4 linked regions of the Arabidopsis thaliana genome follow. The protein of the gene in region 3 interacts with the protein of the main gene of each other region in a pairwise test. Each region holds a gene or a part of one and is shown on either strand. Other genes may lie near its edges. The genes, in order: MSS1, GRXC1, GLUR2 and WNK3.

Evidence for each region.
Region 1: the proteins of GLUR2 (region 3) and MSS1 interact in a protein complementation assay, tested with the Arabidopsis thaliana proteins (one large-scale study listed by BioGRID).
Region 2: the proteins of GLUR2 (region 3) and GRXC1 interact in a protein complementation assay, tested with the Arabidopsis thaliana proteins (one large-scale study listed by BioGRID).
Region 4: the proteins of GLUR2 (region 3) and WNK3 interact in a protein complementation assay, tested with the Arabidopsis thaliana proteins (one large-scale study listed by BioGRID).

What each region holds. Positions count from the first base shown.
Region 1 is NC_003076.8:9,241,923-9,250,990, reverse strand, and holds MSS1 (Major facilitator superfamily protein), read left to right. Parts: upstream 1-3,450; 5' UTR 3,451-3,996; coding exon 3,997-4,129; intron 4,130-4,689; coding exon 4,690-5,140; intron 5,141-5,769; coding exon 5,770-6,061; intron 6,062-6,435; coding exon 6,436-7,140; 3' UTR 7,141-7,593; downstream 7,594-9,068. Other genes in the region: AT5G26330 (Cupredoxin superfamily protein), read left to right, coding at 8,356-8,521, 8,980-9,068. UniProt on the Arabidopsis thaliana protein: Mediates an active uptake of hexoses, probably by sugar/hydrogen symport.
Region 2 is NC_003076.8:25,283,423-25,289,789, reverse strand, and holds GRXC1 (Thioredoxin superfamily protein), read right to left. Parts: upstream 3,614-6,367; 5' UTR 3,439-3,613; coding exon 3,335-3,438; intron 2,728-3,334; coding exon 2,639-2,727; intron 2,556-2,638; coding exon 2,457-2,555; intron 2,359-2,456; coding exon 2,273-2,358; 3' UTR 2,096-2,272; downstream 1-2,095. Other genes in the region: AT5G63040 (uncharacterized protein), read right to left, coding at 1-98, 194-592, 687-756, 1,203-1,286; AT5G63020 (Disease resistance protein (CC-NBS-LRR class) family), read left to right, coding at 3,788-6,367. UniProt on the Arabidopsis thaliana protein: Has a glutathione-disulfide oxidoreductase activity in the presence of NADPH and glutathione reductase. Reduces low molecular weight disulfides and proteins.
Region 3 is NC_003075.7:16,786,198-16,795,332, reverse strand, and holds GLUR2 (glutamate receptor 2), read right to left. Parts: upstream 5,803-9,135; 5' UTR 5,301-5,802; intron 5,064-5,300; 5' UTR 5,044-5,063; coding exon 4,785-5,043; intron 4,699-4,784; coding exon 3,350-4,698; intron 3,258-3,349; coding exon 2,980-3,257; intron 2,890-2,979; coding exon 2,858-2,889; intron 2,774-2,857; coding exon 2,379-2,773; coding exon of another isoform or gene 2,361-2,378; exon of another isoform or gene 2,350-2,360; intron 2,298-2,349; coding exon 1,872-2,297; 3' UTR 1,648-1,871; downstream 1-1,647. Other genes in the region: DAZ2 (C2H2-like zinc finger protein), read left to right, coding at 7,050-7,904. UniProt on the Arabidopsis thaliana protein: Glutamate-gated receptor that probably acts as a non-selective cation channel. May be involved in light-signal transduction and calcium homeostasis via the regulation of calcium influx into cells. Could play a role in calcium unloading from the xylem vessels.
Region 4 is NC_003074.8:17,869,638-17,877,054, forward strand, and holds WNK3 (with no lysine (K) kinase 3), read right to left. Parts: upstream 5,894-7,417; 5' UTR 5,584-5,893; coding exon 5,515-5,583; intron 5,442-5,514; coding exon 5,404-5,441; exon of another isoform or gene 5,300-5,403; coding exon 5,072-5,299; intron 4,994-5,071; coding exon 4,770-4,993; intron 4,691-4,769; coding exon 4,533-4,690; intron 4,450-4,532; coding exon 4,284-4,449; intron 4,131-4,283; coding exon 4,002-4,130; intron 3,914-4,001; coding exon 3,375-3,913; 3' UTR 3,183-3,374; downstream 1-3,182. Other genes in the region: BIR6 (Pentatricopeptide repeat (PPR) superfamily protein), read right to left, coding at 427-2,292; CYP71A26 (cytochrome P450, family 71, subfamily A, polypeptide 26), read left to right, coding at 6,934-7,417. UniProt on the Arabidopsis thaliana protein: May regulate flowering time by modulating the photoperiod pathway.

The sequences.
Region 1 (9,068 bases), on a different chromosome or scaffold from region 3:
CACAACTTCGCAAATTGCTGTCTCTGTGTTTCAATAACCATGTCAAACGCCATCCTTCTTGCTTTCCTGCATATCCACTTAGACACTGAAATCGTATACCTCATCATTATCTCATCCTTAATGTCAACCTAAGTCAAGGTTGGCCTCCTTCTTGCTTCATCTCTGAATAATCTGGCAATCACACCTTGTTTCAGCATCCTCGCTTTTCCACTGATCGCATGCTTATGTGCATCCACATAAGTTTTCACTGTCCATTTCCCTACCCTCTTATCCACAAAACAATAAATCTTCCATTGACAGTTTTCATGGCTGCATATAGCCATCAGCTGTTTCTGACCCCATTTGCATAACTTCACATCATAGTTAGTCTTCAAGACATACCTCAAAAGCTGATCCTTAAACTCTTCACCATTATTAAACTGCTGCTTAAGCCATAGATAAGGTGGCTTATCTTTGGTGAATTTAGCTCTTGCAATTTCTCTTTCTTCACGGTCTAAAGCATCCCACTCCTCATCTGTATCCAACGCAGCATCAGGTCGCTCTGTATCCATGCATTGATCCTCAAACTCTTCTTCATCAATACCCTCTTGACCAGCCTCTTGACCAGCCTCTTGACCAGCCTCTTGACCCGTTACATGTCCTTCATCAACTCCAGCCTCTTGACCCGTTACATGTCCTTCATCAGCTTCAGGAATTCCCTGACCAGCTGCTTCCCCTGCATCTTGGTGGTTATTATCCTCTTCATTTATCTCTTCATAAAAGGCCCTAAACCGAGGATCATCTCCCTCACATTCTGCTACAGGATCAACATCATCATCTTTACCTCTGTCTTCTTCCCCAGTTTTATCTCCTTCAACCTCTGCATCAGACTCTTCCATCTCTTCAACAACAGCCTCTTCACCATGCTGAGACATAGGAAACGGTGTTGGTTCAGACACACCTTGCTCAATATAAACGTCTACTTCTCCACCAATCAACGCTTCACTGCACAGCTGCCTAATCCCACTATCTCTATCCTCGCCTATAGCTCTTACTGATTCAAAGCTTTCGTGTGCAAGCTTGTACCAAACTTTTTTCACGGGAGCAGATACTCCATTCTCTGCTGGGAAATCGGCGAAGATAGACCACGTCATCAGATCTGGATCAATGAGCATATCCCTCTTCTCAAATCCTCCAATGTAGGCAAACGACTCATCGCGAATTGAGACATCTCCTCCATACTTTATATGCAGCTTCAAACAATCGAAACCACTGCAAAAACAACAAAGAATAAGGGGATTAAGTTCAAATGACACAAACCTAGAACTCTAAAAACCCAGAAATCAAACCCGACAAAACCCTTAACCTAGAAATCGAACCCGACAAACATAGAAACTGTTACTCTAAACTCAGAAATCTAACCCGACAAATCCAGTAATCGATCCAGAAATCTTCCCATTCTCAATCCCGACAACCCAGAAATCGATCCCGACGAACAAAGAAATCGATTTCCCCCAATTCTAACCCTAAGAATCGATTCGATTACATACCTCATCGTGACTTAGCAGACTCGTTGAAATCAATTACCGACCACAACGCAACCAGTTAAACGACGACACACATCGAAATCGATTTGGGGTTTCGAAATCAAAGAGAGAATTTTAGGGTTTCGAAATCAAAGAGAGAATTTTAGGGTTTGGAATCGAAATCGATTTGGGGGAGAATGCCAAAAGGGTAACAGTGTCTTTGATTAGATCGAAATAAACACGTGGGGTTAAGTATTAACCTCGGTTAGACACTCCGTTAACGAAGTTAACAGTCGTTAACCCGAGAAGCTGGTTTTTCCAAACAAAAACTAAACGAAAGATTTTAAAGCGAAAAGAAATAAACCTAGGTATTGTTCGGGCAAATTAAATAACCGAGGTATTAAACGGGCAAATTAAAAATATATGGGGTGTTTTTAGGGTTTTTTCCCCATTTTATATTTATCAGCTAATATTCACTTATGGCTTGCTCAGTTCAGAAAATTATGGAAATCGTTGTAACCCAAACCTGTGATAGTAAAAACTGTAGGCGATACCTGAATCGGGAAAAGTTTACTTTATAATACTTCGGTTTATTTCTACCGAAACTGATCAAATCAGCCGAATGAGTACAATAAAAAGAAAGTAAAAAATTATGAAAATCGCCGTACTATTTAAAATTTTCACCACAATTAGAAGCAAAAATCTTTAGTATTTTACCAACATATATATATATATATATATAAAATCTACGAAAATAATACTGGAATGCTGAAATAATGGGATGTAGTTTCGTTTCTTGGAGCAACGTACTTACAGAGCTATATTTTTATTTTAGTTTTTGTTAACAGGATAATAACAATAACTTTATAGATATTTATTGTTTATATATTTTATTATTGTTATTGCTCTCGTTGAAAACAGAATAATAATAAAACAAGCCTTTTTCTTGTTAACGACTTGACGTATTTTTTTTCTCTTTTCCTATTAATTATCGTCACGTTTTATTACGTTTCTCTCATTGATATTTGTGGAATCTGAATCGTATTAGTCGACTCCAACTCTTAACAGGATAATGATGTTTGAAAAGTAAAATACACACTTTTTTGGTCCAAGCAGGAATATTTTGTTACGTAATTAATTTTACATGTATGTCAAGTGGATATAGTTTACTTACAAGTCTAAACACATTATATCCGTGGTACAATATTTCAACAATTAATATTCAATTTTTAATTTGCATGTGTTGTCCTACTTTAATATTGATATATCAGTGTATAGGAAAAACTTCAATTACCAAAACCACAAAAGAATGAAAAATCATACATCAAAAATCAAAAACCTAAATATATTGGAAAGTCAATTATATTAAAGGTAGATATTTACTTGTTGTTGTTGTTGCATTGCAACTTTTCAACGCGTAAACAATAACTGAGTAGCAGTGAGCATATTTGGTTATTAGTCTTATCAGAACCAAAAACATATATGGTTATTGTCTTTTAAAGATATGGACCCATGAACTATACAAAAGTGACTATTTGGTAGATATACACAAATAACGTGACACCAACTGAGAAAACCATATGACAAAACAACACATATAAATTTAAAAAATTGGCTTCGACTAGTTGTAGATATTTTGTTCCATAATCGTATTAGAACGAGAGTAAACAATAATTGAATCGAGTGGTGAGCAAATATGGTTATATATTATAACGATTTTAAAGATTTGGATCCATATTCTTAATTAGGGAGGTTGGTGGGTTCGATTGGTGTCGGTCTAGTACTCACAATAATTGTTTCATCTCAATATGATTCTGAAATAAAATGTTGAATATTGCTTACGGTGTTAAAAGTATATGGGACTAGATATGGCATATAACGTAACACTTATACATAACATCAATAAATTTAGACAATACAAAGGACAGAATTAGTAAGATAAAATTCACAAGTAACATGACGTTGGCTATTTTGTATGAACACACGGCCCAAATCGTTCATATTCTAAAAGGTATAATACATTTCGAGATATTTTGCTTCGGTTGCAAGATTTTCACAACACATTGAGTCATTGACAGCGATATGAGAAAATGTAACAATCTCTCTAATAAGAAAGGAGAATCTTATAATTTAACATAAAAATAAATATAATATTCGAGGATAATACTATAACAAGAAAGAGAAGACTTATATGATGATGGGCAAATTGTATATTCAACTATAAGGACTTAAGGAGACGCCACATAAAGCAGAAAGAGTTTAGAAGAAAACGTTTGTTGACCAATGACTTGATGACTCAGTAGCATGTGAACATAAAAAGAGACGTGCAAGAATCTCATTGGCTGCAGATAACATCTATTTTTGCTTCACTACCTCAACTTCTCTATATAATGAAGTAAACACCCCCAATGGTCTCTTTAACTTAAGTGTTTCTGTTTAACTCCTTGAGAGAAAATAACTTTTAAACTTTAGCTTCTAAGAGATATTCAGGATGACCGGAGGAGGATTTGCGACTTCGGCGAACGGAGTAGAGTTTGAGGCAAAGATAACTCCAATAGTCATCATATCTTGCATCATGGCTGCTACCGGCGGCCTCATGTTTGGTTACGACGTCGGTGTCTCCGGTAAGAATATTAACATCCCTTAGTTATTTTTCTATATGTATAATACAATCCTTTTATCTTATATTATACAAAACGTAGAAGAAGTTTTTATTTTAAAGATACATAAGTTTTTGTTAGTGCAAGTTTTCTCAAAAAACGATTTTAAATAGGACTTGCTCATGTTTTCAACTACCGCCAATAACTTCTTTGGTAGAACTATTTCACCTAATACCTAACTTCTTTGGTAATCAAAATGAAATTTCAGTAACTAGCTCGATGTTAATTAATATTGGTTAAAGTAAGAAAATAATCAAAAAAAATCTTAGCTTACAAAAGTTTGGCAGCTAAAGATCTAGACCGTCCTTGTTTTAGTTAGTATATTGACAAAAGTAGTGTCATATAGGTTTTAGTTCTTCTTTTTGTTATTTTCTTACAACACACATGCTCGATGTTGAATTTGAACATGGGCTACATCAACATGAATAAATTAATAAATTTATGAGTATAATATCCTATAGGGTTTAACGGTAAAAATAGTAACAACAAAAATAATTTTCCATCATTGAAATGGCTATACGCAGGCGGAGTGACATCGATGCCGGACTTTCTCGAAAAGTTTTTTCCCGTGGTTTATCGGAAAGTAGTAGCTGGCGCCGACAAAGACAGCAACTACTGCAAATACGACAACCAAGGACTACAACTTTTCACATCATCTTTATACTTAGCCGGTCTAACCGCAACGTTCTTTGCTTCATACACGACAAGAACGCTCGGAAGGAGGCTAACTATGCTCATAGCCGGCGTTTTCTTCATCATAGGTGTGGCTCTCAACGCGGGGGCTCAAGACCTAGCCATGCTTATTGCAGGCAGGATATTGCTTGGTTGTGGAGTTGGGTTCGCTAATCAAGCCGTTCCGTTGTTCTTGTCGGAGATTGCACCTACTAGGATCCGTGGTGGTCTTAATATTCTCTTTCAGCTTAACGTCACTATTGGTATCCTCTTCGCCAATCTTGTCAACTATGGGACCGCCAAGTAAATATCTCTTCCCTAATACTTTTCTTCTATATTTTATTTGATAATCTGAAAAAATGTGTGGAAAATAAACTTAGGGTTTGAGATTTTTTTGACAAAATAAAATCCAAATTAATATATGGTGGTCATAATTTTAGAAAATTTGCTTTAACATGACACTTGAAAAAATATCCACATGAATTGTCTCTTTCACTTCACACAACCTTAAATTTATTGTAAGAAAAAAAAAGATTTAGTTACATGTACTACCTAAAAAGTATTCATAATTTTCTGATCGTTTTTGTCAAACTTTTTGGCTGTCTTCCGTGTTTATTTAAATTTATTTTCACCTTTTTCAAAAATCATTCATATCCAATTACCAAAAAAAAAAGCATTTAACTTTATGAATAGATTTGAACAAAACAACAAAGAAAAAACTTTATCATATAAGTCGCAAACATAATTTTCTTCCGTGCTTTCGGCAAATTCTATCCACATGCCTACGTCTTATATAGTCGCAAACAAAATTTTCTCCGGCATTGACTTTTAATGCGTTATGATGATCTGTCACCTGTAATTAATGGGCTTACGTGTAGGCCCATAACGGAGTTAAAAACTGGCCCACTAAATAAATTTTGAAATGTTCGCAGGATTAAAGGAGGTTGGGGATGGAGGTTATCGTTAGGTTTGGCGGGAATTCCCGCGCTTCTTCTAACGGTCGGAGCTTTATTGGTGACAGAGACACCAAACAGTTTAGTCGAAAGAGGTCGTCTCGATGAAGGTAAAGCTGTTCTTCGTCGTATTCGAGGGACCGATAATGTTGAACCAGAGTTCGCTGATCTCCTTGAAGCTAGTCGACTTGCTAAAGAAGTTAAACACCCTTTTAGAAACCTTCTTCAACGTAGAAACCGTCCTCAGCTCGTCATCGCCGTCGCTTTACAGGTTAGTACTACCACTTCTCTGTTCTCTCGTAATTGGTAATCGGAAAAGTTTATCTCCGATTTGGAGAGTTTGACTGAAGTGATTTTGTTTTTCGTTTAGGATCTAGAAACCCTAAAATTTGATTCCATTGTGGTCATTTTAGGAGCAATAACCCTAATTGTTTGTCAAGTTTCCATAATTTTAATTCCATTGTGTTCATTTTAGGAGCAATAACCCTAAATTGTTTGTCAAGTTTCCATAATTTTGATTCCATTGTGTTCATTTTAGGAGCAATAACCCTAAATTGTTTGTCAAGTTTCCATAAATTTTGATTCCATAGAGTTCAGTTTCAAAGTTTAAAGCTAATCTTTTTTTTTTTGGTGTGCAATTTGCAGATTTTCCAGCAATGTACTGGAATCAACGCGATTATGTTCTACGCGCCTGTTCTGTTCAGCACATTAGGGTTTGGTAGTGACGCTTCACTTTACTCAGCAGTGGTGACCGGAGCAGTCAACGTCCTCTCAACTTTAGTCTCAATCTACTCCGTTGACAAAGTCGGTCGCCGAGTTCTTCTCCTAGAAGCTGGTGTCCAAATGTTCTTCTCTCAAGTCGTAATCGCCATTATCCTTGGCGTCAAAGTAACAGACACTTCTACAAATCTCTCCAAAGGTTTCGCAATTCTAGTCGTGGTAATGATCTGCACATACGTCGCTGCTTTCGCCTGGTCTTGGGGACCGCTCGGGTGGTTAATCCCTAGTGAGACATTCCCTCTAGAGACACGTTCCGCGGGACAAAGTGTAACGGTCTGCGTTAACTTGCTCTTCACGTTCATTATCGCTCAAGCTTTCCTCTCTATGCTTTGCCATTTCAAGTTTGGGATATTCATCTTCTTTTCTGCATGGGTTTTGATTATGTCTGTCTTTGTGATGTTCCTACTTCCGGAGACTAAGAATATTCCTATCGAGGAGATGACTGAGAGAGTTTGGAAGAAGCATTGGTTCTGGGCTAGGTTCATGGATGATCATAATGATCACGAGTTCGTGAATGGTGAGAAGAGTAATGGTAAATCTAATGGCTTTGATCCTTCAACACGGCTTTAAAGTGGTTTAAGAGTCCCTAACCAAAGTAGAAGCAGAAGAGAGTGAACAAGAGGTGGTAAACACACCAAAGTAGAGAAGGGAAATACAGTTTTCAATTCTATACAGTGTACTAAATTTCGTTACTTTAAGTTTGAACTGCGTTTGTGAATAAGTGAAGTTTTTTTTTTTGCTTTGTTGTGGTTCTTAATGTCATCCCTGAGTTCCAATTTTCTACAAGTGTGACATGTATATGTCAAACTCTAAATTTGCATTGTCGATTTTCTCTTAAAAATGATGGTAGCCTATGTTAATGGGCCAAATATAGGTTTGTTATGGGCCTATAATGGACTGTATAATTATTTTTGTTGGTCTCAAATTGCTTAAAAATATAGACTAGTTTTGAAGTTATACAGTCTACTCTCTACTAAAACCAGCAGTGATCAAATTGCATAAAATGTTGTTATAAAAGTTTACCCAAAAAAAGGTATTTATCACAAATATATTACTTAGATTAAAGAAATCATGGTACCAAGATGTAGGAGGAAGAGTAACTGCGAAGTACTAAAATTAAAAGATGATTCAAAATTAGCAGACCAACTAACTCGCACCATTCTTTCCTTACAAGCCTTCCAAACTTTAAACCATGTGAACACTTGACAACATATAACAAGAATCACTTTTTTCTCCTTTTGTTTAAAAACCGACTAATTTATGAGTTTTCAAAATGAATTAACCATAGTATTTTTTTATAAATTGGATTATTATATCCCAAACTAAACTTCATGTGAGATTTCTAAGTCATTCATGTCTTTTAAAAAATATCATGTCAAGATTTATTTAACATTTTATAAAGTTTTAAGGAAAAAAATCATCATTTAATTTCTTTCCTCCATTATTCTTTCTCAATTATATCGACATTTTTATTTTTTTATACATTCTTCCAATTTTCCAAGTCAGTCTTAGACATTAAATCCAACACTAATAAAAGGTAAACAAGTAAAGTAAACAATCTTTGTCAGTATTTTGCTTTTTAGACACTCCTTTCTCCAAATTAGCCAACTAACCAATAAAGATCAAGTGACCTCCTAATACATACGCACCACCACTCACATTCACATACCTCCTTGTATATATACACACACATAATAAGAAAGAGAGAAACTAAAGGAGAAAACCTTGTGGGGCTCTTTACCAAAGAAGAAGAAGAAGCGTGTGTCAGAGAAAGTTTGTTGACCGATGGCAGCCATTATAGTGGCGGCTTTAGCGTGTATCGTGGTGATGCTACGACTGAGTGAAGCGGCCGTGTACAAAGTCGGCGACTCAGCAGGATGGACAACCATAGCCAACGTAGACTACAAGCTATGGGCTTCTACCAAAACTTTCCACATTGGTGATACTGTCTGTGAGTTCCTGAATTTTCTTACATCATTGTACAATACAAGCTAAATTAAAATGAGAAGATCTTGACTGTAATACTTAATTTTGTCGGAAAGTGGACCCCCTCTAGCATTCATAATTCTTAAGTGCGTAAGCTTTAGGTGTAAAGTAAAGAGTACCACTCACGCCCTAATCATTGAGACTTTTAAGTCACAAATTAAATTTATAGGATTAATACGAAATCAAGTGTCACATCTGCTAAAGTGATTATATTAATTAGTTTAGAGAGGTTCTTAACTTATGAATCATGATTGATAAATTTTGAAATAAAAACTATGATTGAGTTTTTGGGCCAAAATATGTTATGATTTTTCTTTGGTTTATATATGCTCTCTATTTTTTTCTCATGGTATGCACATGTTTAAAATTGTTGTTACCTTTATGAAAACATGAGTAAAACGTAAACTAATTTGATTTTGATAGTGTTCGAATACAACCCACAATTCCACAACGTAATGAGAGTGACGCACCCAATGTATAGAAGTTGCAACACCTCAAAGCCAATCTCTACT
Region 2 (6,367 bases), on a different chromosome or scaffold from region 3:
AACTTTTCCGGATCCTTTTCTTGAGCGGTCTATTATCAGAAGAAATGCAGCGACTCCGCAGTAGAAGAGAGCCTCGGTGAAGAACAGGATGAGGAAGTCTGCAAATAGAGGAAGAAAGATACAATGACTTTGTCTCTGCAATTTTCGAAGAAAACGTGACGAGTAAATCGGAAAAGGGAGAAGCAAGACGAACCTGTGAGCAAAGAATCTTCAAAAACTGCTGAGACTATTCTTCGTAAGTAAACTGGAGGTAAAATGAAAGAGGAGACTAAGACTGCAGGACCAATGAGCCAGAGCAGGCGTCCCCATGGACTTTGAGTTTCAGGGGGGATAATGATATCCTCAGTTTTATTCCGAGGATTGTAAAACGAAATGAAACCCGGTTTCCCGTCATTTCTATTGTATTGGATAGTTGAATCATCATCTCTAGGTGTAGCTTCGGTGCCAATTTGGGGACTTACTGTGTCTGGATCATTTGTTGTATCTTCAGTGTAGTGGAACTTTTCTTCTGAAGTAGCAAGAGGCAAATAAGTTCTCTTTCGGGAGACTTCGCTTGGTTTTTGGCCTCTTGAGGAAATGTGAAGAGAGCCAACTGTTCATAACGAATGCAAATACAGTCAGAAAACTTACTCACAAGTCACTCATACCCCCAAAGGATAACAATTAAGAGTAAGAAAGGAACTTACTTTTATCAGTTTTAAGGTGCAGAGAATGGTAACAATGGAGATGAGCAGGCTGAACCCTCGGTGAACGAAACTGAAGTTTGGAGACGACAAATATCAGCAAATATCCATAAACATGGGCTTCCCAAGACCAAGAAACAGCAGGTAATAACCTCATCAACAACAACAAATGAAACCAACACTTGATTTCATTTTATCATAACCTAATAAAAAGCATTATTGATCAGATGAAGTTCCAGTTTTTTCTAGGCATCATCTATGGAGAACAAGACTGCAATGTCCCAATCAAATCTAAGTAAGAATTGCAAAAACTATATCTTAAAGTCCACTTCAGACACATTGATTTTAGTATACTCAAATGTGTCAACTAAATTTTCCTACTAGATCAAATGAATATTTGTTCAATGTCTCAAACCACATTGGGAGAAACATCTGTCGAGACAATACATTGGGAGCATGAAACACAGATGCAGCATAGAAGAAACTCTAAAGGCTGACTACAAATTAAGAAATTGTCACCTGAAAGGAACTCCGAGGTTGAAACGGCGAGAAAATGGATGGAACCAAAGAAGAAGCCGAGGAGGACACAAGTTTAGCAGCCATGGCCGGTGAAGGCGGCAATTCTCTTAAACCCTAACGGAGCAACACGGGTTTAATCGGATTAACCCATGAATGGTGTACAGATACAAAAGATTTCCTCAGAGTCCGCAAAAGTAGAACTTTTTCCCAGAGAAACTGATACTGGAGAATAAATTCGAAGACTTTTGGTGAAATTTGAGGATTTGGGCTAATTTGTGAGAGCCACGGCTTCGTTACTTGCTTAGGTTAGTAGTTATTGATTTGATAAATCTTTAAAACAAATCTCCATCTTACACGGGCCTGTCTAGGTTTTGCTCCGCTTATTCCAAAACTTTGTCTTTTCTTCTACAACGCTTCGCTTGAACACACTCTCTGGTCAAATTCAGTTTCCTCAGTTTCTCTTCTTTAACCGGCTCTAGATAATATTTACTAATTGACCCCACAAGTTCTCTTAAACTACGATTTTGCACTATACTTTATAATAAATCTAGATTAACCAAATTGACATTATTCATTGCCATTGGACATTGGTTCTCCGAATTTGGATTACACAAATCAGTGAAAAATGTACTTGTGCTGTTCGAATCCGAATTTGGATTACACAAATCAGTGAAAATGCACTTCTGCTGTTCGAATATTCATTTCTCTTTCAATCGTAACTTTCCGTTGATCGATTTGGCTAATATTAGTTTTTCAGCCTTTAAGGCACCTACACGGCCGGTTACTAGATAAGTTTGGTTCAACCAAAAGCCTTAATCCACCTACTTGACCGGCCTGCTACAAAGTCAACTTGGGATGCAACCAGTAATCTTCAGTAATTTAGAGCAAGAAACTAGAGCAGATTTCTCAAGTTTTATTCCATTAACCGAAACACCAACATGAAAAGTATACACTTAGATATTCTGTATTAAACAACGGGAATGATCTTTCTTTATTGAGTATGTGACGATACCTCTTTTTTCATGATCTAAACACAACACACACTCTTCACACACTAGTTTCGAGTTTCATCAAAGTTGAGAAGAGTTATCTGCAATAGCCCCAGCTTCAGTAAGTAGAGGCACAAGCTTGCCTTGCTTGTTGGTCTCCATCACTCCTGCAAAATATAGAAGCAACACGAAAAACGCAGTTAGTTTTTCCGGCAACCCGAATTTCCATTATTGTGCAGAGAATTTGTGTAGGTTTTTCACTTACTATCGCATCCACCGATGTGGTTTCCTTTGATGAAGACGTTTGGAACTGTGGTCTGTCCAGTCCACTCTGATAAAGCTGATTGGATCTCACCTCCATCACCTGAAGTAAACATAGCATCGAGATAATTCAGGTTCATTGAGATATATTAATATACAGGTATTGACAGGGATTTGGTTTCATACTCATTTCATCGAGCTCAAGTACTTTAAAAGTTGCTCCTAGCTGCGTCAGTAACTGCTTCACCCTCTGGCAATAACCACAGTATGTCTTGCTGCGAAAGAGAAAATATGGATCAGAGCTAAGACATTACATTTGAAAAGTAACCTTTAGACCATCTCAAAAAGTGGAAAGAAATACGTTCCTTTTAAGACTAAGCAAAATCAAACTCAAGACTCTAAGCAACAACAAATTAAGCTTCATTTCAAAACTCCGAAAGGCATCCCCAAATCAGTCATAGGAGCTTGCACGGATCAATCTTCAAAAACTCTAGCTTCTTCAAAGATTTCTAGACTAGTCAGAATCAAATTTGAGAACTGGATCTATCAGTATATATTACATGATCACATCCCTAATCGTCTAGGGAACCCACAAATAATCTCTGAATTGGATGGAGAATCACTAATATAAGATGATGTTCGATCTTTCATTCACGACCTAATTTCACAGATGGAAACAACAAAACAAGCAGACAATGATCCATTGGTGCCTCTGCGTCAAATAGAAGCAGACTCTACCCCCTGATGGTAAAGACTCAAACTTTTTGACTAATTCAAAACCCCTCAAGGCAACAACATCCAATTTTCTCAACAAATTCATAATCACGAACGAAAAGAGTAATACCCAGATGAAAAAGATGGGAGATTTCAACGAGAACAAACCTGAAGACAACAACGGGATAAGCAGAGACGATCTCTTTAGCCTTGTTCACCACCACCTCCATCTCTTCCTTGCTCATTCGGTTTCCACTGAACATTGAACCCATTTCTTCTTCTCTTAACCAAAGACGACCACGACACAACTCCTACAGATGTCCTCTGCTCGAGTTTTGTGCCAATCTTGCTGGCAAATGAAGTTTTTATCTCTTTCAATCAAACCTCAGTCAATATTTATTAAAGAGTTATTTGCGTTGAAAAAAAGTTATCTTTCTGAAATGATACTCTTTTAGTCTTTTTTCGTAGAAATTTCTCTTTTCAGAATATTGTTTAAAGTTTACAATAGCGACGACTTTAGAGTTTGGATTATTGTCAATTTTCACAACTCAGCAGCTCTTATCCTTTTTCTTCTTCTAGTTCTCTGCCACAAGTTTACTTCTTCTTTTGTGTAAACGCAGGATGGGAGGTTGTGTCTCTGTATCAATATCATGTGATCAGTTGACGAAGAATGTTTGTAGTTGCTTAAACAGGAATGGAGATTACATTCATGGCTTAGAGGAGAATCTGACAGCTCTGCAGAGAGCTCTTGAGCAGATTGAGCAAAGACGAGAAGATTTGTTGAGAAAGATTTTGTCTGAAGAAAGACGAGGTTTACAACGACTTTCTGTTGTGCAAGGATGGGTTTCAAAAGTTGAAGCAATAGTACCTCGAGTTAACGAACTCGTCAGAATGAGATCTGTTCAAGTCCAAAGGTTGTGTCTTTGTGGGTTTTGTTCCAAGAATCTTGTCTCAAGCTACCGTTATGGGAAGAGAGTAATGAAGATGATAGAGGAAGTTGAGGTTCTTCGATATCAGGGAGATTTCGCTGTGGTGGCTGAGAGAGTTGATGCAGCAAGAGTGGAAGAGAGGCCTACTAGACCTATGGTTGCTATGGATCCAATGCTTGAGAGTGCGTGGAACCGTCTAATGGAAGATGAGATTGGGATTCTTGGTCTTCATGGTATGGGTGGAGTAGGTAAAACTACACTTCTCAGTCATATCAACAATAGATTCTCTAGAGTTGGGGGCGAGTTTGATATTGTGATTTGGATTGTGGTCTCCAAAGAGTTACAGATCCAGAGGATCCAAGATGAGATATGGGAGAAGTTACGGTCTGATAACGAGAAGTGGAAACAGAAAACAGAGGACATAAAAGCATCTAACATTTACAATGTGTTAAAGCACAAAAGGTTTGTCTTGTTATTGGATGACATATGGAGTAAAGTGGATTTAACAGAGGTGGGAGTTCCGTTTCCGAGTAGAGAAAACGGATGCAAAATAGTATTCACCACTCGGTTGAAAGAAATCTGCGGGCGGATGGGAGTTGATAGCGATATGGAAGTCCGGTGTTTAGCCCCGGATGATGCGTGGGATTTGTTTACTAAGAAAGTAGGAGAGATCACATTAGGGAGCCACCCTGAGATTCCCACAGTCGCAAGAACAGTTGCTAAGAAATGTCGCGGCCTACCATTGGCCCTTAACGTCATTGGTGAAACAATGGCATATAAAAGGACAGTGCAAGAATGGCGTTCAGCAATCGACGTTTTGACTTCATCTGCAGCTGAGTTTTCAGGTATGGAAGATGAGATTCTACCTATTCTAAAGTACAGCTATGATAATTTAAAAAGTGAACAGCTCAAATTGTGCTTCCAGTACTGTGCTTTGTTTCCAGAAGATCATAACATTGAGAAAAATGATTTGGTAGATTACTGGATAGGTGAGGGATTCATAGATAGAAACAAAGGTAAAGCTGAGAACCAAGGTTATGAAATTATCGGTATTCTAGTTCGTTCATGCTTATTGATGGAGGAGAATCAAGAAACGGTGAAGATGCATGATGTGGTCCGAGAAATGGCATTGTGGATAGCATCTGATTTTGGAAAGCAAAAAGAAAACTTTATAGTGCAAGCGGGCTTACAGTCGAGGAACATACCTGAGATCGAGAAGTGGAAAGTTGCGAGAAGGGTGTCATTGATGTTTAACAACATTGAAAGTATACGTGATGCTCCTGAATCTCCCCAACTTATAACTTTGCTCCTCCGAAAGAACTTCTTGGGGCATATCTCAAGCAGCTTCTTTCGGTTGATGCCAATGCTAGTTGTTCTTGATCTATCAATGAACAGGGATCTCAGACATTTGCCAAATGAAATATCAGAATGTGTCTCATTGCAGTATCTGAGCTTATCACGTACAAGGATAAGGATTTGGCCTGCTGGTTTAGTAGAGTTGAGGAAACTTTTATACCTGAATTTGGAGTACACAAGGATGGTAGAGAGTATCTGTGGCATATCAGGTTTAACAAGTTTGAAAGTGTTGAGATTATTTGTTTCCGGTTTCCCTGAAGATCCCTGTGTTTTGAACGAGTTGCAGCTTTTGGAAAACTTGCAAACTTTAACCATAACTCTTGGTCTTGCTTCTATTTTGGAACAATTCCTTAGCAACCAGAGGTTGGCAAGCTGTACACGAGCTCTGCGCATCGAGAATCTTAATCCGCAATCATCTGTAATCTCATTTGTTGCTACTATGGACAGTCTTCAAGAGCTTCATTTTGCAGACTCTGACATTTGGGAGATCAAGGTAAAGAGGAATGAGACGGTTTTGCCTCTGCACATCCCAACCACTACCACATTCTTCCCAAACCTCTCGCAAGTGTCTTTAGAATTCTGCACAAGATTGCGGGATTTGACGTGGCTGATCTTTGCTCCAAATCTTACGGTTCTACGAGTAATTTCAGCGAGTGACCTGAAAGAAGTAATAAACAAAGAGAAAGCTGAGCAGCAAAACCTTATTCCCTTCCAAGAACTAAAAGAGTTGCGGCTAGAAAATGTTCAGATGCTAAAACACATCCACCGGGGTCCCCTGCCATTTCCCTGTTTACAGAAAATTTTGGTTAATGGATGCTCAGAGCTGAGAAAACTTCCACTCAATTTCACGAGTGTCCCAAGAGGTGATCTTGTCATAGAGGCACATAAAAAATGGATAGAAATCCTTGAATGGGAA
Region 3 (9,135 bases):
GATTCATCGGATGATCGGAGGCTTTTGGGTTTATCCGGTTCATGATTCATCGGATGATCGGCGACTTTTGGGTTTCTCCGGTTCATGATTCATCGGATGATCGGAGGCTTTTGGTTTATCAGTCACGGACACGCACACGGGGAAGACGGACATGGCGGTGGACGAAAGAGGCTTGGACTGCAAATCTCATTTTCAGCCCATATAATACTCAGAAGCCCATCAACAAATTGAGGTTCATTTCCTATCCCTTCTTATTTACTTTTTTTTTTTCCTCCCAAAAATCGATTTTCTCACGGATTTTTAATTTGCATAACGATGATATGAAAACTAACTGGATTTTGGATACAGTCTTGATCGTTAGCGATTCCAAATATTCAACTTGTTTTCATATCATTTTTATGTAGATATATTATCCAAGTTTTTTATTCGGATTTTTAAAAGTTTTAAACGTTTTTTTGTTTTGTTTTGTTTTGATACTAAATTTACATAAAGATATATGAAACTAACCGGATTTTGGATCCAGCCTCGGTCGTTAGCGATTCCAAATATTCAACTTGTTTTCATTTTTTTTATGTAGATTTTAGTATCCAAGTTTTTAAGTCAATTTTTCCGGTTTTTTTTTTTAATTATAAATTTACATAAAAATATATGAAACTAACCGGATTTTGGATCCAACCTCGGTCGTTAGCGATTCCAAACATTCAACTTGTTTTCTTATTTTTTATGAAGATTTTAGTATCCAAGTTTTTAAGTCAATTTTTTCGGACTTTTAAAGTTTTTTTTTATTTTTTATTTTGTTTTTATTCTAAATTTACATAAAGATATTTGAAACTAAGCGGATTTTGGATCCAGTCTCGGTTGTTAGCGATTCCAAACATTCAACTTGTTTTCATATCATTTTATGTAAATTTGGATATTCGGATTTTTAAAAGGTTTTTTTTTACACTAAATTTGCATAATGATGTATGAAACTGATCGTATTTTGGAACCAACATTAGTTGTTAGCGATTCCAAACATTCAACTTGTTTTCATATCATCTTTATATAGATTTTTAATATCGAGATTTTTAATTCGAATTTTATATTGCTTTTTCAAAATTTTGATATTTTGTATTTGGATTTTTAAGGTTTATTTTTATTTTTTATTTTCTATCTTTTTATTGTTTTGATATTTAATTTTCATAATATTATATAAAAATTGATAACTAACCGGATTTTGGATCCAGCATTAGTCGTTAGAGATTCCAAATATTCAATATTTTTTATATCATTTTTATGTAGATTTTAAGTATCCAAGTTTTTTATTCGAATTTTGATATTTTCTCTTCAGATTTTTGAAAGTTTTTTTTTCTTTTTGAGATTGTTTTTATAGTTTTTTTTTCTTAGTATTTAATTTACATAATAGTAGTATATGACAGAAAACTAGCCAAGTTTTTAACTGTTTGAGTTTATAAATGTTTTTAGTGATTAGTGTGACTAATTTGATTCAATGGCTAATCAGCAACCACTAACTATCCTATAAAAAGTAAAAACCAACCGGTACATTTGGAAAGCTTCCGAGTTTGGATATAGTCGGTTTAGCAACTAAACTGCCTAATCCGGATTGGCACCTCTAGTTTTTACAGTTTTGGTATGCAACATAACTGGAAGATAAAAAGGATACCAAGTAATTCTTTTTTTTAAGAACTATGTATGATATAGCTTTGTCTTACAAGTTAATGCTTCACTTTCTTTGGTTAAAAAATGTTCCGTATTCTTCAAGGCTTATTCTTGAAGTACAGTTAAAATCAAAATCTGCATTCTACTATATAAGTATGAGGTATGTGTGTCTGCATTTCTTCATCTTTCATGCTTGAGTCTTGATGGATCTGTCATATTGGTCTAGAAGGCTTTAAAGAAAGATCATCGTTTCGTTTACGCTTCATCCTTCTCTTGGATTCGTCTTCTTTTTCATCAAAATAAGCTAGAAATGTCTGCAATGATTTAGAACGTGAACTTTCTGGTGAAGGTACTGTGGCTTCTTCATCATATTTGCCGTGGCGGAAGAAGTCGCGGACTATCTTGAAGAAGTAGATGAAGAGAGCGATAAAACAAGAGATCCCACACACAAGGAATAATCCCCAGAAGCTTCGGAGTTTAAGCTGTTCTGAATCTTCATCTGACACTGAACCGTTGAGGTTACTGCAGTTAGATCTTGAAAGCCACTTGTCATGGATCTTTTGAAGCTGTCCGGTTTCTGATAGACCTAAGATCGCGGTTGACATGTCGATTGCTAATGGAGAGTCTCTTGGAAATGCCTACAAACAAAACCGCAAAAAAGATGATCAAGATTAATGTTCAAACAAACCGCAGAGACAGTTTTAAATGAAGGTACTCACAAATCCCCAGCCACTTCTGGTGAATTCTTGGCCTCTAATGGCAAATCCGCAGAATTCTGAGAGGAAGAGATCAACGTAAGGACGCTCATCAACAATTGCAGCAACAGTTCCGTTTTGAAGAGCTGCAGCGTATTCTTTAGGAGAGCCGAGTGGTACAAGTCTGGATCTGGCAATGTTAAGCTCATCAATCATGTAGTTTTCTGCATAAGAACCTACCTGAAACCCAACTCGTCCACTGCTGCTGATGAGTGTGTCTACTCCTCTGATTGGTGAGTTTAGCTGTTGCACTGTAAGAATCGATGTAAGACTCGCTGTGTAGCTTGATGTTATGATTAGTACCACAAATAGCCAGATGAGCAGAACAGCACGACCGAGTGTACTCACTGTGTTCTCTCCTGCAAGTTTAGTAGCATAAAGATGTTGGAGATATCATCACCTATACAGTAGTAACTTAGCTGCAGTTTTTAGATGTAACTTACTGTGGGAGAAAAACATCGTGGAGAAGCTGAACCTGCATACATAGATCATAGCTTATGAGGTCTTTAGGTATGTTATGTGCCAACATATTGATAAAATGCAACTTCAGTGACTGTTTACTAACCAGAGAATAGTAACAATTTGTTTCCTTGGAGGTCCGCGGAACTCATCGTTGATTCTATGTTCAAGAATCCATATTACTGATCCAACGATGAGGAAAAAAGCTGCTGTAACAGCCCACATTGGAGGTGTAAAAGGGCGTAAAAACGCCCACGGAGTATCATTTAGCTTTGTGACAGGAGCAACCACGACAAGCCCTGATTCTATGTAAGGCTGAGTGAAATCCACAATCCTTGTTCGTTTCGTAACAATAGCTATGTCTCCTACAACAGCATCAAATACCTGAAAGCAGAAATGAACAACTCACAACTATTACAGTCAGTTTCGACAATGCTTTGTAAGAGAAATGATATTTTCTTGATTCTTTTGCTCACCCCAATAGTGACATTGTTGACAAATTCATTGAAGTTTGGGTTCTTGAGACCGTCTCCAAATAGGACGAACTCATGAGGAACCGGATAAGAAATCAGTTTTACCGCAGCTTCAAAGACATCAATGGCATACCCTTGCACTTTGTTGCTTCCATCCAACCTTGACACAAACTCCTTAAAACTTGCTCTATCGGGTACACCGATTCTCAATCGTCTCCCGTTGTTAGGAAAAACCCAACCACGTGGTGTCTCAGAAGTCCCACCAGGCCAAGTCACATTGTTCAGATGTTGGTTTGAGCTCGAACGATTTGAAAGCTTTTTGTATAGTGACTCTGGAGGTATAATAGAGAGCCCGGAATGGTTAGACCAATACCCTATCTGCCTAAACCCGTCATCAACCACGTTTATGATGTCATATGAGGGCTGTATCATTGATCTGTCAGGAAGAAACTGTATTTGACCTGTAACACCAGTCATATTTGTATTCACAATATAATCAAGAAATTGTGATCCTTGGTCAAATATGCTCAATGCACCTAGATTCAGTGACCCTCCTCCCTTCATGCTGGTTAACTTTGGGTCACTAGAGAAGGAAATGTTAGCTCTGCTATCTAGAAGTCTCTTAACAGCTCGAGCAATGATCCAGACAGTATCATAAGCATAGAGACCATAAACGTTTAAACCGACAGTCCCGTTACTCAACTTGTTCCACCGTGCCACGAAATCTTTTTTCTTTTTTGAATTTGGCGTGTGAATACGAAGAGTAAGCACGCCTCTAAGAGATTCAGCAGTCTTGGCAGGTAACGGGTTAACAGAATCTAACAGAGAAGTCAACCAAGTTGTAGCTATCCAAACATAGCCTTTCTCCATCATGCCAAGCTTCTGGGCTTCCTCAAAGATTTTCTTACCTGTTTTAGGGAAAGTGTTCACAATGATTACCCGAGATTCCATCCCTTGAATCTTAACCAACTCATTTATAATCTCACGAGGACTCGTAATCACCACATCCAAAGGAAGCACAGCCTTGTATGAAATCTTGCAGCGCCTTCCTTCGAGCTCATCGCCTAAAGCTGTTATACCGTTTCTACTGTTGTCATCATCATTATACAATGCAATCACCTCTGACCAACCGTAGTAACTTATCATTTCCGCAATGGCACGCATCAGAAAGAGATCACTAGGTGCTGTCTGGACAAAGAACGGGAACTGAAGCGCCGAGAGACTAGGGTCTAAAGCTGTGAATGACAACATAGGCACACTAAGCTCATTTGCAAGATGAGACAGTACATGAGCCATTATTGATGTCTGAGGACCAATGATAGCCACAGCATCAGTCTCCATGAATTGCAAAGCTGTGAAATAAAACCAACACAAAGGATAAGTAAAAGTTTAGTTCCAAAACAAGAATCAACGAAACAAGATCATATCTTTTTTTCACCTCCCATGATGGTGAGGAATCCATTACGCTTTGCATCATACGTCGTTATACGCAATTTTGATCCACCAAGGAAGCTAGGATCAGAATTTACATCTTCCTCTGCAGCTTTCATAGCAATATTTGTAACTTCACCCTGTAAAGTCCCTAAACTGAATATTGCTCCAACATCAACATAACGAGGCCTTAAACCAGCTCCCTCTGAAATCATCCCATCACCAATAAGAACAATGAAGCTCAACAGAACCAAAACCCAAAACATAGCTTTGGCTTAATCAGTTCCTGAAACACCAAGTTTGATAAACAAACAACAATTAGATAAAATTCCCAAAAACTTTAAGAATCACAAAATGAGAGATTGTGAGCCACTTCACCAAATCAAAATGGGATTTTTTTAAAAAGAGTAACATAGGAAGAGAAAGCTAGAAACTTCTAATGAAACAAAAAGAATAAGGAAGATAAGCAAAGAAAGTGACTTTAACCAGAACTGAAAAAGTGTCACGAGGATTAAACCCTTACCTCAAACATAGAGAACAAGGATTGTCAAGAAATGAGTGGCAGAGATGCCAAAACCCAAACCCAAACCAAAATCATCCTTTAAAGAAAAGCAGATTCGTCAGGCACATGAAAAATCTAGCTGAAAGAAAGCATGAGGAACAAGCAAGAGGAGTACACATATAAAAACCTGAAAAAAGGAAGGAGTAGGTCTTCAATAAACAAAAAGGAGGTAAACTGACAAAAGTAAAATCATGGGTTTGCTTGAAGATTTAGGAAAGTGGTAAGCTTTTTGGTGGGATTTGATTACTTCCAATCAGAATTCATGCACTAGTCACATTTACAGGCTAAGAAAAAAAGAGTTAGAGAAGGAAATTGGATAGACTAACCATAATTGTCGACATAGATAATGAGCCATTATCGATTGAAAAATGTGAACTTCTTAACTTGTAAGTTTTGTTTCCAGTGAAAAATGAAAACTTTTTGTTTTGTTTGCAAGTGACGAAGTGACCCTTTTGGTTCCCAGCCAAAGTAAAGAAGATGATGATGAGAAACATATTATTCCTTACTATAATCTATAATGGTAGTCTATAATCTTTTATTGGCTAGTGAAATCATTAACCCAAAAAAAGAGATAATTAACCAAATCATCTTTGGGACCATTAATCGTTTGCGTCATGGAGTTGTATGATTATACTTTTGATTATTGAATCAGTATTTTATAATTATATATTATACTTGTATTTGGATTCCGTTATACCTTGATCCAATGACTGTTTTAAATTTATTTTATTGTTTCATTTTCTTTTTTGAAAAGTAATAGTATTATATTTTGTGGTCTTTCATGCGACAATGAGAAAGTCTGGATATTTCGAATATTATTTGGTTCAGGTATTTAAAACATCTTCCCATGTTCCACATATGACATAACTCCAAAAATGAATGTATGTTGTTGGACCATTCTTTTATTTGTAACCTTTTTTTACCCCAAACCAATAAAAATTACAGATGCTTATGGCATTTTCTGATTTTGTTGTCCTATATAGGCAACCTTAAACCTTCTTACCAAAAAAGAGAGACAAGTTTACTTATACCAAAAACAATTCTTGTTATTATTTAAATGTTTCAGGAAGATAAGAAAACGCACGATAAAGAAAATCTAACGGATATAGAAACAAAAATAATAATCTAGGAAACAAATCGTAATCAAATGTCCAATTTCAATAGTGTGAATCATGGGATGGGAGAGTGGCGATTTTATTTCTGTGGAAGTGTGGAACCTCCACCGAAATTGAGTAATGGAAGCTCAAACTCCACTAAAATCTTTACTTTTTCCAAATCTTCCAATTGGCTTTGGAATTTTGTTGGCTTTGGAATTTTGTTGCTTCAATATTCTTGCATAGGCTTAGAATTTAATAATAGACGCAAGATTTATAAGGCCTATCAGAAATAATGGACTCTAGTATTATAAGGCCCATAAGAAATAATGAACTCTAGTATTATAAGGCCCATCAAAGATAAACTTGGGCCAACAAATAATAAGCAGCAAAACTGATACATAAAAAACGTGGTGGTTTCAAACTGCAAAGAGATAAGTCTCTTCCTTACATAGTAAACCGCTCTGTTCCTCAACTGAAGTTAACTGTCTCCCTGTTCCTCCATAACTTCTTTCCCACGTAACCTCTCCTTCTTCTTCTACTTAAGCAACCCTTTCTCTAACTTCTACTCTTTTTTTTCCCACTTTTCTTCCATCACTTCCTCTACGTGCTCACAATGAACAACAATCATTCCTATGATGATCGCAGTTTTCACATTCCACTTCATCCTTCTAACACAAGCAACCCTAATCCAAATCTCCAGTTTGCTTTATCTTCAAGCTACGATCACAGTCCTAAGAAGAAACGCACCAAAACCGTTGCTTCATCCTCTAGTTCTTCACCAAAATCCGCGTCAAAACCAAAATACACCAAAAAACCAGACCCAAATGCCCCCAAAATCACACGTCCATGTACTGAATGTGGCAGAAAGTTTTGGTCTTGGAAGGCTCTCTTTGGTCACATGAGATGTCACCCTGAGCGTCAATGGCGTGGCATTAATCCTCCTCCTAACTACCGTGTGCCCACCGCGGCTTCTTCAAAACAGTTAAACCAGATATTACCAAATTGGGTCTCATTTATGTCCGAGGAAGACCATGAAGTCGCTTCTTGTCTCTTAATGCTGTCTAATGGTACACCATCATCATCGAGTATTGAACGGTTCGAGTGTGGAGGATGTAAGAAAGTGTTTGGATCACATCAGGCTTTAGGAGGACACAGAGCGAGTCATAAAAACGTTAAAGGCTGTTTCGCTATCACAAACGTAACCGATGATCCTATGACGGTTTCTACTTCTAGTGGGCATGATCATCAGGGAAAAATCCTTACGTTTTCAGGGCATCATAAGTGTAATATCTGTTTTAGAGTGTTCTCGAGTGGTCAAGCTTTAGGAGGTCACATGAGATGTCATTGGGAAAAGGAGGAGGAGCCGATGATCAGTGGTGCTTTGGATTTGAATGTTCCTCCAACAATACAGGATCTTTCTACTTCGGACACATCAGGGTGTTGTTTAGATCTTAGGTTAGGACTCTAATTAGTATCTATATATATATATAATGTCTGTAGGTATATTGGATGTTTCCTTCTAATTAATAGGTCAATGTACATGTTGTGATTTGATGATAAGTATAACGTATGTAGGATATTCTGCTATATATATGCTTAATAAAGAAAAATATTTAGTTTTGTGCTTTCGAAATGCACTGATTTTCTGGTATATTAATTAATTTTGAATCAGATCAGAAAAGAAAAGAAAAAAACACTTGAATCAAGAAAGAAAACAAAACTTGTGTTGTACCAAAATGTAAAAGAAAGTTTCAAACGTATATCCAACCAAATACTAGAGAACAGAATTGATCTCTTAAAACATGAAATTCATAAGCAGATATTGAGCCGTTTTGTAAAATTTAAGCCAACTAAGAAAAGGGAAAACATTTTAATTTCACGGAAGCTTAATTAGTATTATTCTTGCCAAATTTCGTTGTTTGACTTGATCTCAAACTCACCACGATCTCCAAGACTCCAACCATTCTATTTTTAATTATTTTCTTAAAACTCTTACCATTCTATCGTATATAGATTAGATCTTATTCCGCTAGAGAATCTTAGTGTTACTTATATCTAAGATAACCTTGTTTTCACCAGCTAGCTTTAACATAAACAATGCTTAAATAAAGATTGAATCTTAAAGAAAATTATTAGTCTAAAGATTCAGATGCATTATAGGTAAACACGCGGAACTAATTACAACATGCACGAACCCTAATCCGAGACAGTTTTCAATTAATCTTCTCGAATCTATTAAACAAATATTAAATCAATTGTCCTTCAAACAATTATCGAGCTAGCTAGTGCGACACACAACCTTCGTGAATATTCAACTACTAACTCTTTTTAATAACAATAACTATCGTTTACAGCGATGCTTGTTGGTATATAAATACATCAAAAACAACAAGGAGAATCTTCTGGTGAGATTTATTTATATCAAAGATGAATTTCCCTAGCTCTTGATTGATTCTAGTACATGGCTCGTGTTAATCACAGGCGCGTGACAAATATGTTGTAAAATTGTTCACGTACATTGTAATTCATTTCATATGTCTACATCTACAACATGTTGACAAAAAGTATAAATGTATCATATGCATCATAATATTTTATATGTTGTTGATTTGTTTATATGTGTTTAAAAATGGTAGATATGAAGGCTTACGTAAGATGAAGTTGACCCATTTATCTCCTCACACGTCCTTTACATCTTT
Region 4 (7,417 bases), on a different chromosome or scaffold from region 3:
TAATACTTCCAACAATGATCCTCAATAAAGATGAAAGCAAAGAGAAAGATTCTACCAGGACATGATCAAGACCTCAATCCATAATTGCATTCTCTGATGAAAATAATGATATCCATTCAATACTGAGTTGAAGAAAACAAGAAAGAGACAGAGAAGCTCAACAATTGCAAAATGAATAAATAAATGCAAACTGTTTATGAACAATCCTACAACATCTTTCAGTTCCATCAACAAAGCCTACAAAATCATCTTACTACCCTGCAGCACGTAGAACAGAGGAATGGACATTATTCGCAAAGAGAGTAGAGTTTTATTCCAGAGAGGTTGAATGGAAAGACTTCCAAACAGTAGATGACCTCTTGGTTGTATTCTTGTAGCTGAATGGGATGAACATGTCTCTGCGGAACAATTGGGTGACATAATACCTCAAGCTGCAGCACCAAAGAGTTCGGAGATTTTAGGGTGAGTTTTAAAGTGATGGGGACATATGAAGAGAAGATTTTTCGCATCAGTGAGTCTTCCTTCTCGATAGAAAGCTTCAATGACATGAAAGTAGGCTGCAAAGGAAGGAGAATCCTTTGAGCTAAGCACATCCAAGAACTTCTTAGCGTCTTCCAAAGTCCCAAACTTTGCAAGGTATCCATCAAAAGCTTCTGCATACGCAGGGTAATTTTGCTTCTTCATCATCTGAAGAAGATCTAGTGCTTCTTCACTCTTCTTGATCTTTAGCAGCTTGTCTATAAGAAGTTTGTACGTGCTTTGCCAAGGCTTTACATTGGCATTTTTCACCATCTCCATAAGGAATATGCTTGCCCCCTCGAATTTGTTGTGGATAACAAACCCATCTATCAAGACATCAAGCAGATTAGAGTCAATATCAAACCCTTTCTCTAGCATATTCGCAAAACACGCCAAGGCCTTATCCAATTCATTGTTTTTGCAGTGCCCTTGGATCAGTATAGTCCAAGTTTTTATGTCGGGAAAGCATCCTTGTGCTTCCATTTGATCAAGGACTCCTCGTGCTTCTTCTAATCTCTTAGCTTTACAAAGACCAAACACGAGTTGGCTGTATGTGATGTTATCCGGCTCATAACCCGCATTTCTCATAGCCTTGGTGATTTCCTCAGCTTCGTCAAACCTACCTACACTGGTTAAAGACCTGTGGATTCCATCATAAACAGCTTTTGAGAGAGACTTCCCTGTTGATTCATATTTCCTCGAAACCCGAAACACCAAATCCAAATCTGGATTGGGACTACCCGATAAATACCTCAACAAAAGACTACAATCTTGAATAGATGGTTTGAACGGACCATCCATCATATATTCATAAAGCTTAACTGTCTCAGCCATCATTCTAGATTTCTGAAACTGCCTTGAAACCTTTATATAAGTGTCAAGATCCATATCATACCCTGCAGTCTTCATTTCATCAACAACACTCCAAAACTCTGCAACCGAGTTAGGCCTAGCCAAAACCCTCAAAGCTGCGTTATAAGTAACAGTACTGTGTTGATAACCAGAAGAACTACCACCACCACCAACCCAATGGAAAAACGCCAAAGCTTTCAAAGGATGTTCCCTTAGTTCTTTCAACACCCTAATCACAAAATTATCCGACAAAACGAGCTTCATCTCCTGCAATTCCCTCTCAACCTCACAACTCCAATCCCCCTTAGTAACAACAGCAGAAACCTCTCCAGCAACAACAGACATTGCGTTCTCCTTAAGCATTCTCTCATAAAAATGAGCCACAGCCACAGCATCAGCTTTCGATTTCTCCTTACTAAGCTCACCATAAATAGTCTTATAAGTATCCTCGTCTAAATAAAACCCTCCTTGTTTCATCTCCCTCAGAGTCATCCAAAACCGTTTCATTGATCTCTGCTGCACTAAAATCCTCAACATAATGCTATAGAGTGGAGTACTTGGACTAAGCCCTGAATCTCTCAAAACCCAATCGAGAAAGTAATAAGCTTTTTCAGGATACTTCTCCAATTTCCTCAGAACGTAAATTGCAGTCTCGTGTGTCAAAGACATATCAGGTTTCCTCAATCCTTCCTCTACTTCCTTAGACCAATCATTCTCAAGCACTAATTGAAGCATAGAATCTGGTTTCGAAGAAAAGGTTCGAAATTTCCAAAGAAATCGACTAGGGACGATTGCAAATGAATCGAGAGGCGAAGACAAGTTTGAGGAAAAACCCACCTTAGATCGGCTTAGATACGATCGAGTAGAGATCTGTGAGTACGCGTGTCGAAGAGAAGACAGGATTGCCATTGATCTGTACATGGCTACAGATGCTACTACTGTGATTTTGTGTGTTTTCGAATAAGGAAGAGGGAGAGGAAGAGAAAGTGACAATAATAGGGTTTAAGCAAAAATGCAATTTTCCTGAAAATTTAGGGGTTTAACTCCTGAAACGCTGCGTTTTAATGCTGTGATATGATATTTTCAAGTTGGTTTATTCTGGCTTGGGCTTTTAAGCCCATTTATGCCAGATATTTGGGTCCAGTCCCGGAATCGCTTACCAACAAGAACAATTTAACTTAAATTACTTTTCGATTTTAGTTCTTATGAAAATTGAGGGCTTTTCTCGGTGCCCTAGAATTGATCGGAAAAATGTTTTCTTCATGGCAGAGCAAGGGAGTGCATGCTTCGACGGATCAGAAACCAATTCCTGAACAAGTATGAGAATTTAGTTTATTTCAGTTTTTGTTTTGATTATTTATTTGCTCTTTGTAGTTTTGATTGGATCCCTTGAGTCCTTGACGCTGCCATATGCTTATATTTGCTTACTCCCTGAAACGCTTTCTTTCCTATAAAGATGTTTTAAGGTAGTTTTATGAAATTTTGGGCTTTTAGCCCATTTATGCCAAATGTTTTGGTGATTAGGTTTATTATCTATGAAACCCTAATATATTATCTTGAGGCATACGCTATTTAAGAAACACCAGTACCCATTAAACCTAATAGGCGAGAGAGAACAAAATATGAACCGCTCTATATCTTCTTCTAAGATTATGAGAGGCGAGCATAGATCATAAGACAACCTTATTAGAGTCTCTGCAAGTGAGTCCAGTGAAGACGAGTAAGGTTCATAAGAGTTGGGTGAAGAGGACGAGGCTAGCTCAGAAGAATCAAGTGAATAAGAACACAGTGATGTGACCTATCATCACCGCGTTCTTTTCTTCTCCCAGACTCTTCTGAGCTAGTTACGTCTTCACCTAACTAATTCAAGAAATATTATTTGACAAATAGTTTTCCTTCAATCATAACTGTCACAATTTTGTTACACATTTACTTACCTTTAGTACAACATAATATTGCAAACCAAATTAATCTTGACGAGAGTGTGTAATGTAAAAAACGTACTAACACAATAAGTTATCAGAATCTTTAACTTGCAATCTCACCAAAGCCTCTTCACAAATCTCAGGAGGAAACTCTTTTAAGAACTCAGTAACAATACGTTCTTGATCTCTCTGCATCTCTTCAATCTCCTCTCTCTGTTTCCTCAACAAAGACTCAAGTTTCTCTACTATAACCCCAACTTCTTGATTGATCGGTCCTTGTGCTGACGACAACTTAGAATTAGACCGTGGCGCAAACGGTGAACGTGAGTCTCCAGCTCCAGCTTTAGGAGAGGACCAGAATTTTCTCCCTGAAGGAAATCTATCTAAATGGAGCGTCTCTGGAGAAGACAAACATTTTTGTACCGCTGAATCATCACCGATAAGTCGAGAAGGGGTCCAATCGGGGATGTGTGAATGTATCTCTGTGTCGATCATTTTAGCTATCGTTGAGATGTCTTGATCATCGGTTAAGTCTAGTTCTTCGACCATTTCGATGGCGACTGAGAAAGATGTGTCTGTCTCTATGTTAAATGGGAAGTGGATATTGCGGATTTGACCTGTATAAAAAATGTTATTATTGTGTCAAAAGAAGATTTAGTAATGATCTGAAGATTTGTAATAAAAAAAGCAAAAAAGATTTTGAACCTTTGGAATCGGTGATACGTAGTTTTAGGAAGATTGTGTTGAGGTCTTTACGTTGGCCTTCTACGGTTAATAAGCCTACCTCAGAATCCGAGAGTTTATCCACGATTCCGTTTCCGTTGTAACCATTTTCTGTGACAATGTTATTGAACTTGGTGTTAGAAAATTTCACATAGAAAAAATATAGAAACTATCTTATGTTACTATTATTGATTTTAACTTTTAAGAAAGGAGTCCATGACACTTCATATTGAGATGAAATGAAATACCATAATCTGATATTACCTTTGTGAGAGCTGACGTTTTCGGTATTTTCCTTGTAGCATTTCAGAAAAGGATCATCAAGTAGTTCCTTGGCTGACAAGCGTTGCGAGACCTTTGCGATACACTTCTCTATGAATGCTCTCACTTGCGGATCAGTCACATTTAAAAGAGCGGCTGGTTTGATTCCCTAAGAAGCATTGAGAAAAATGGATCGACAATATGGAAAAAGTCATTCTTGATTGGATATGAGATGGGAATATGATCACTTACCGATGTAACTTTCCTATAAATCTGAGCAGCATTTGTGCATTCGGAATACGGGTATTCAAAAGTTACCAGCTCAAGCAAACACATTCCAAACGCGTAGATATCGACAAGTACATTATAGTCCTCTTCATAGAGTTCCGGCGCCATAAATTCAGGAGTTCCTTAAACAATTTCAAACACAAAATTATAGTTTCACAATGGAGAAACTTTTTCGTTTGAGAACAAGATTAAAGATCTCACCGATGACGCTATGAGCAGAGCGAGCGCGGTGCAGAATCGCGGCTAGCCCTAGATCTCCAATTTTGACCTCACCTTGGTTCCCATTAATGAAAATGTTATCACATTTAAGATCTCTATGGATCACAGGAGGATCATGGCTATGTAGATAAACAAGCCCTTCTAAGATCTGCCTTGACCATTTCTTCAATGCTCTTAGATCAACACACTTATGTTTCTTCCGGTACCTATAAGGGTTTGTCAAACATGAATAATATTGATCAAATAAAAAAGATTTGATTTGACTTCTGAGAGAGGAATCTGACTGTCTAAGATTTCCGGAAGTGAAGACTTCGGTGATGAGATTGATAGTCATGTGTTGGTGATCGATCCAAGAAGTGTAGAATTTGATGATGCTTTTGTGTTTAAGGGTTTTGAGTAAGTGAACTTCAGAGTAAAGACGATCTAAATCCTCTGAGCTACAGAATTTATCATCTAACTTAACTTGGTTCCAAGCCACTTCGATTCCTTCAAGTTGGTCAAATGCTCTGTATCTGAAGAACTCTCTGATCAAAGAAACCCTTTAGTGACTGTGTCTTGTCCGAATCTAATCTGATTTGTCTCTGTAGTAATAACAGAGATCTAAGAAAAAGGATACACTTCTTTGAAAGCTCCTTTGCCTAGAACTTCTTTATACTGAAAACATGAGAAACAAAAACATTAGAATTGAGAAAAAGGTAACACTAAAATCAAGTAAAGAAGAACAGACCCGGCCATAGCGACCAGTGGGATCAATCTCAACGAATTCTTCCTCGGAGTTATTCTCGTCTTGTCGCATTCTTGGTTACTTGCAATTCAAAACAGATGATAGGAGTTCTTGAGAGAAGAGAGAAATTTAGTCAAGGAAGAACAAGTTTTGAAGCAGTTTCTGATAATAATAATAATCATTACTTAGCTGTCTTTTTGTGTATAAATCGATTATTTAGATTTTGTGCCATTAAAACCAAGCTTAAGCTTTTCCAGCTGCTGATCATAATGGTGTCGACTGTAGAATGTTGTACACTCTCTCTCTTTCTCATCTTCGAATTTAGGACACTCAGATCCACTGGACAAGACCACGTGGCAAAGGTGTGGGTCGTTGCTTTTTTCGCGCCATGGATCTGGTTTTTTATTTGATTTTCTTCTCATTTATTGTCATGTTACTCTAATCAATTATTTTGCTTATTCAGTCAACTTCATGGTGTTGTGAATATAAAATATTCGGACTTTTTTTTTCCCCTTCTTAACTCTTAAGTCACTGTTTTAGCTGACTAAGAACCCTATAATTGACTATCCTACAAATCGAATAATGGGTTTGGTAAATTACAAAATGTTTAGCCATTGAACCCGCTTGTCATGGTAACGAATTCGATTTTACTGTGTGTAAACAACAATTTGGACTTCAGCTTCAGTTCTTTTAAACTTAAGGAAACTTTTCACTAAAGGGTTTTGCTCTCTCTCTCAGGATTAATAGAATAATAGTCATAGTTTTTGGTGAAACATAAATATTCAATGTTGTTACACTTTAAATAGAAACTTGTACTGACACAAATCACTACACTAATGTTATGATCATTTGTTATAATCTATTACTTCTACTTATATCTCAAAATATAAATGTTTTACATATTGGAGACAGAATGTTTGAGACGAATTAGGACATTTAAATTTTCATGGAGAATTGTTTGTTGAACAATGTTGTCGTTGTATTTTTGATGAGTATGAATTGGCGGTTCAGCCGTTTAAAAACCGATTATATACAATGATCATCAAATTTTTGTAAGGCCCATTGGGCCCAGAGTATATAAATCCTTAGAGCTGACGGCAGCCTGAGACCATTATCCTAGGCACTTGTATTGTATGGTGGTAAGACACATCGTGGAAGCACCGAAAGACTAGAACGGTGACACGACCAAAATAAGACATAAATCGTAAACGCACCAAATGACTTTCACAAGGAAAAATCTCGAAGAACTAAACATTAAAAGACTGGTGCATGCATAAATACATAAGTCCAAAAGATTGAGTGGACAGTAATTACGTACTAGTACTACCGTGAAGAAACTTGGCTTGTATATGTAAGTCCAAAAAAACCACAAATAAAAACTCTTCACAAGAACACGTTTTGATGTACTTGAAGAATCCAGACATGATGATCATGTTCTTTCTGTTATGCTCAATAATCTTTGTAGTTACCATCATAATTTTCAGAAAACAGAAGAGAGGGAAGAAAAGAAACACACTTCCGTCACCACCGGGACTACCGTTGATCGGAAACCTTCATCAACTCGGCCGCCACCCTCACCGATCACTATGCTCTCTCAGCCACCGGTACGGTCCTCTTATGCTTCTTCACTTTGGCCGTGTCCCCGTTCTTGTAGTATCTTCAGCTGAATTGGCTAGAGACGTTTTGAAGACGCATGACCGTGTTTTCGCAAGCCGGCCACGGTCAAAAATCTTCGAGAAACTTCTTTACGATAAGCATGATGTGGCCTCAGCTCCTTATGGAGAGTACTGGAGGCAAATGAAAAGTGTGTGCGTCCTCCATCTATTCAGCAACAAAATGGTACGATCCTTTCGAGAAGTGAGAGAAGAAGAGATCAGTCTGATGATGGAAAAGATCAGGAAATCGA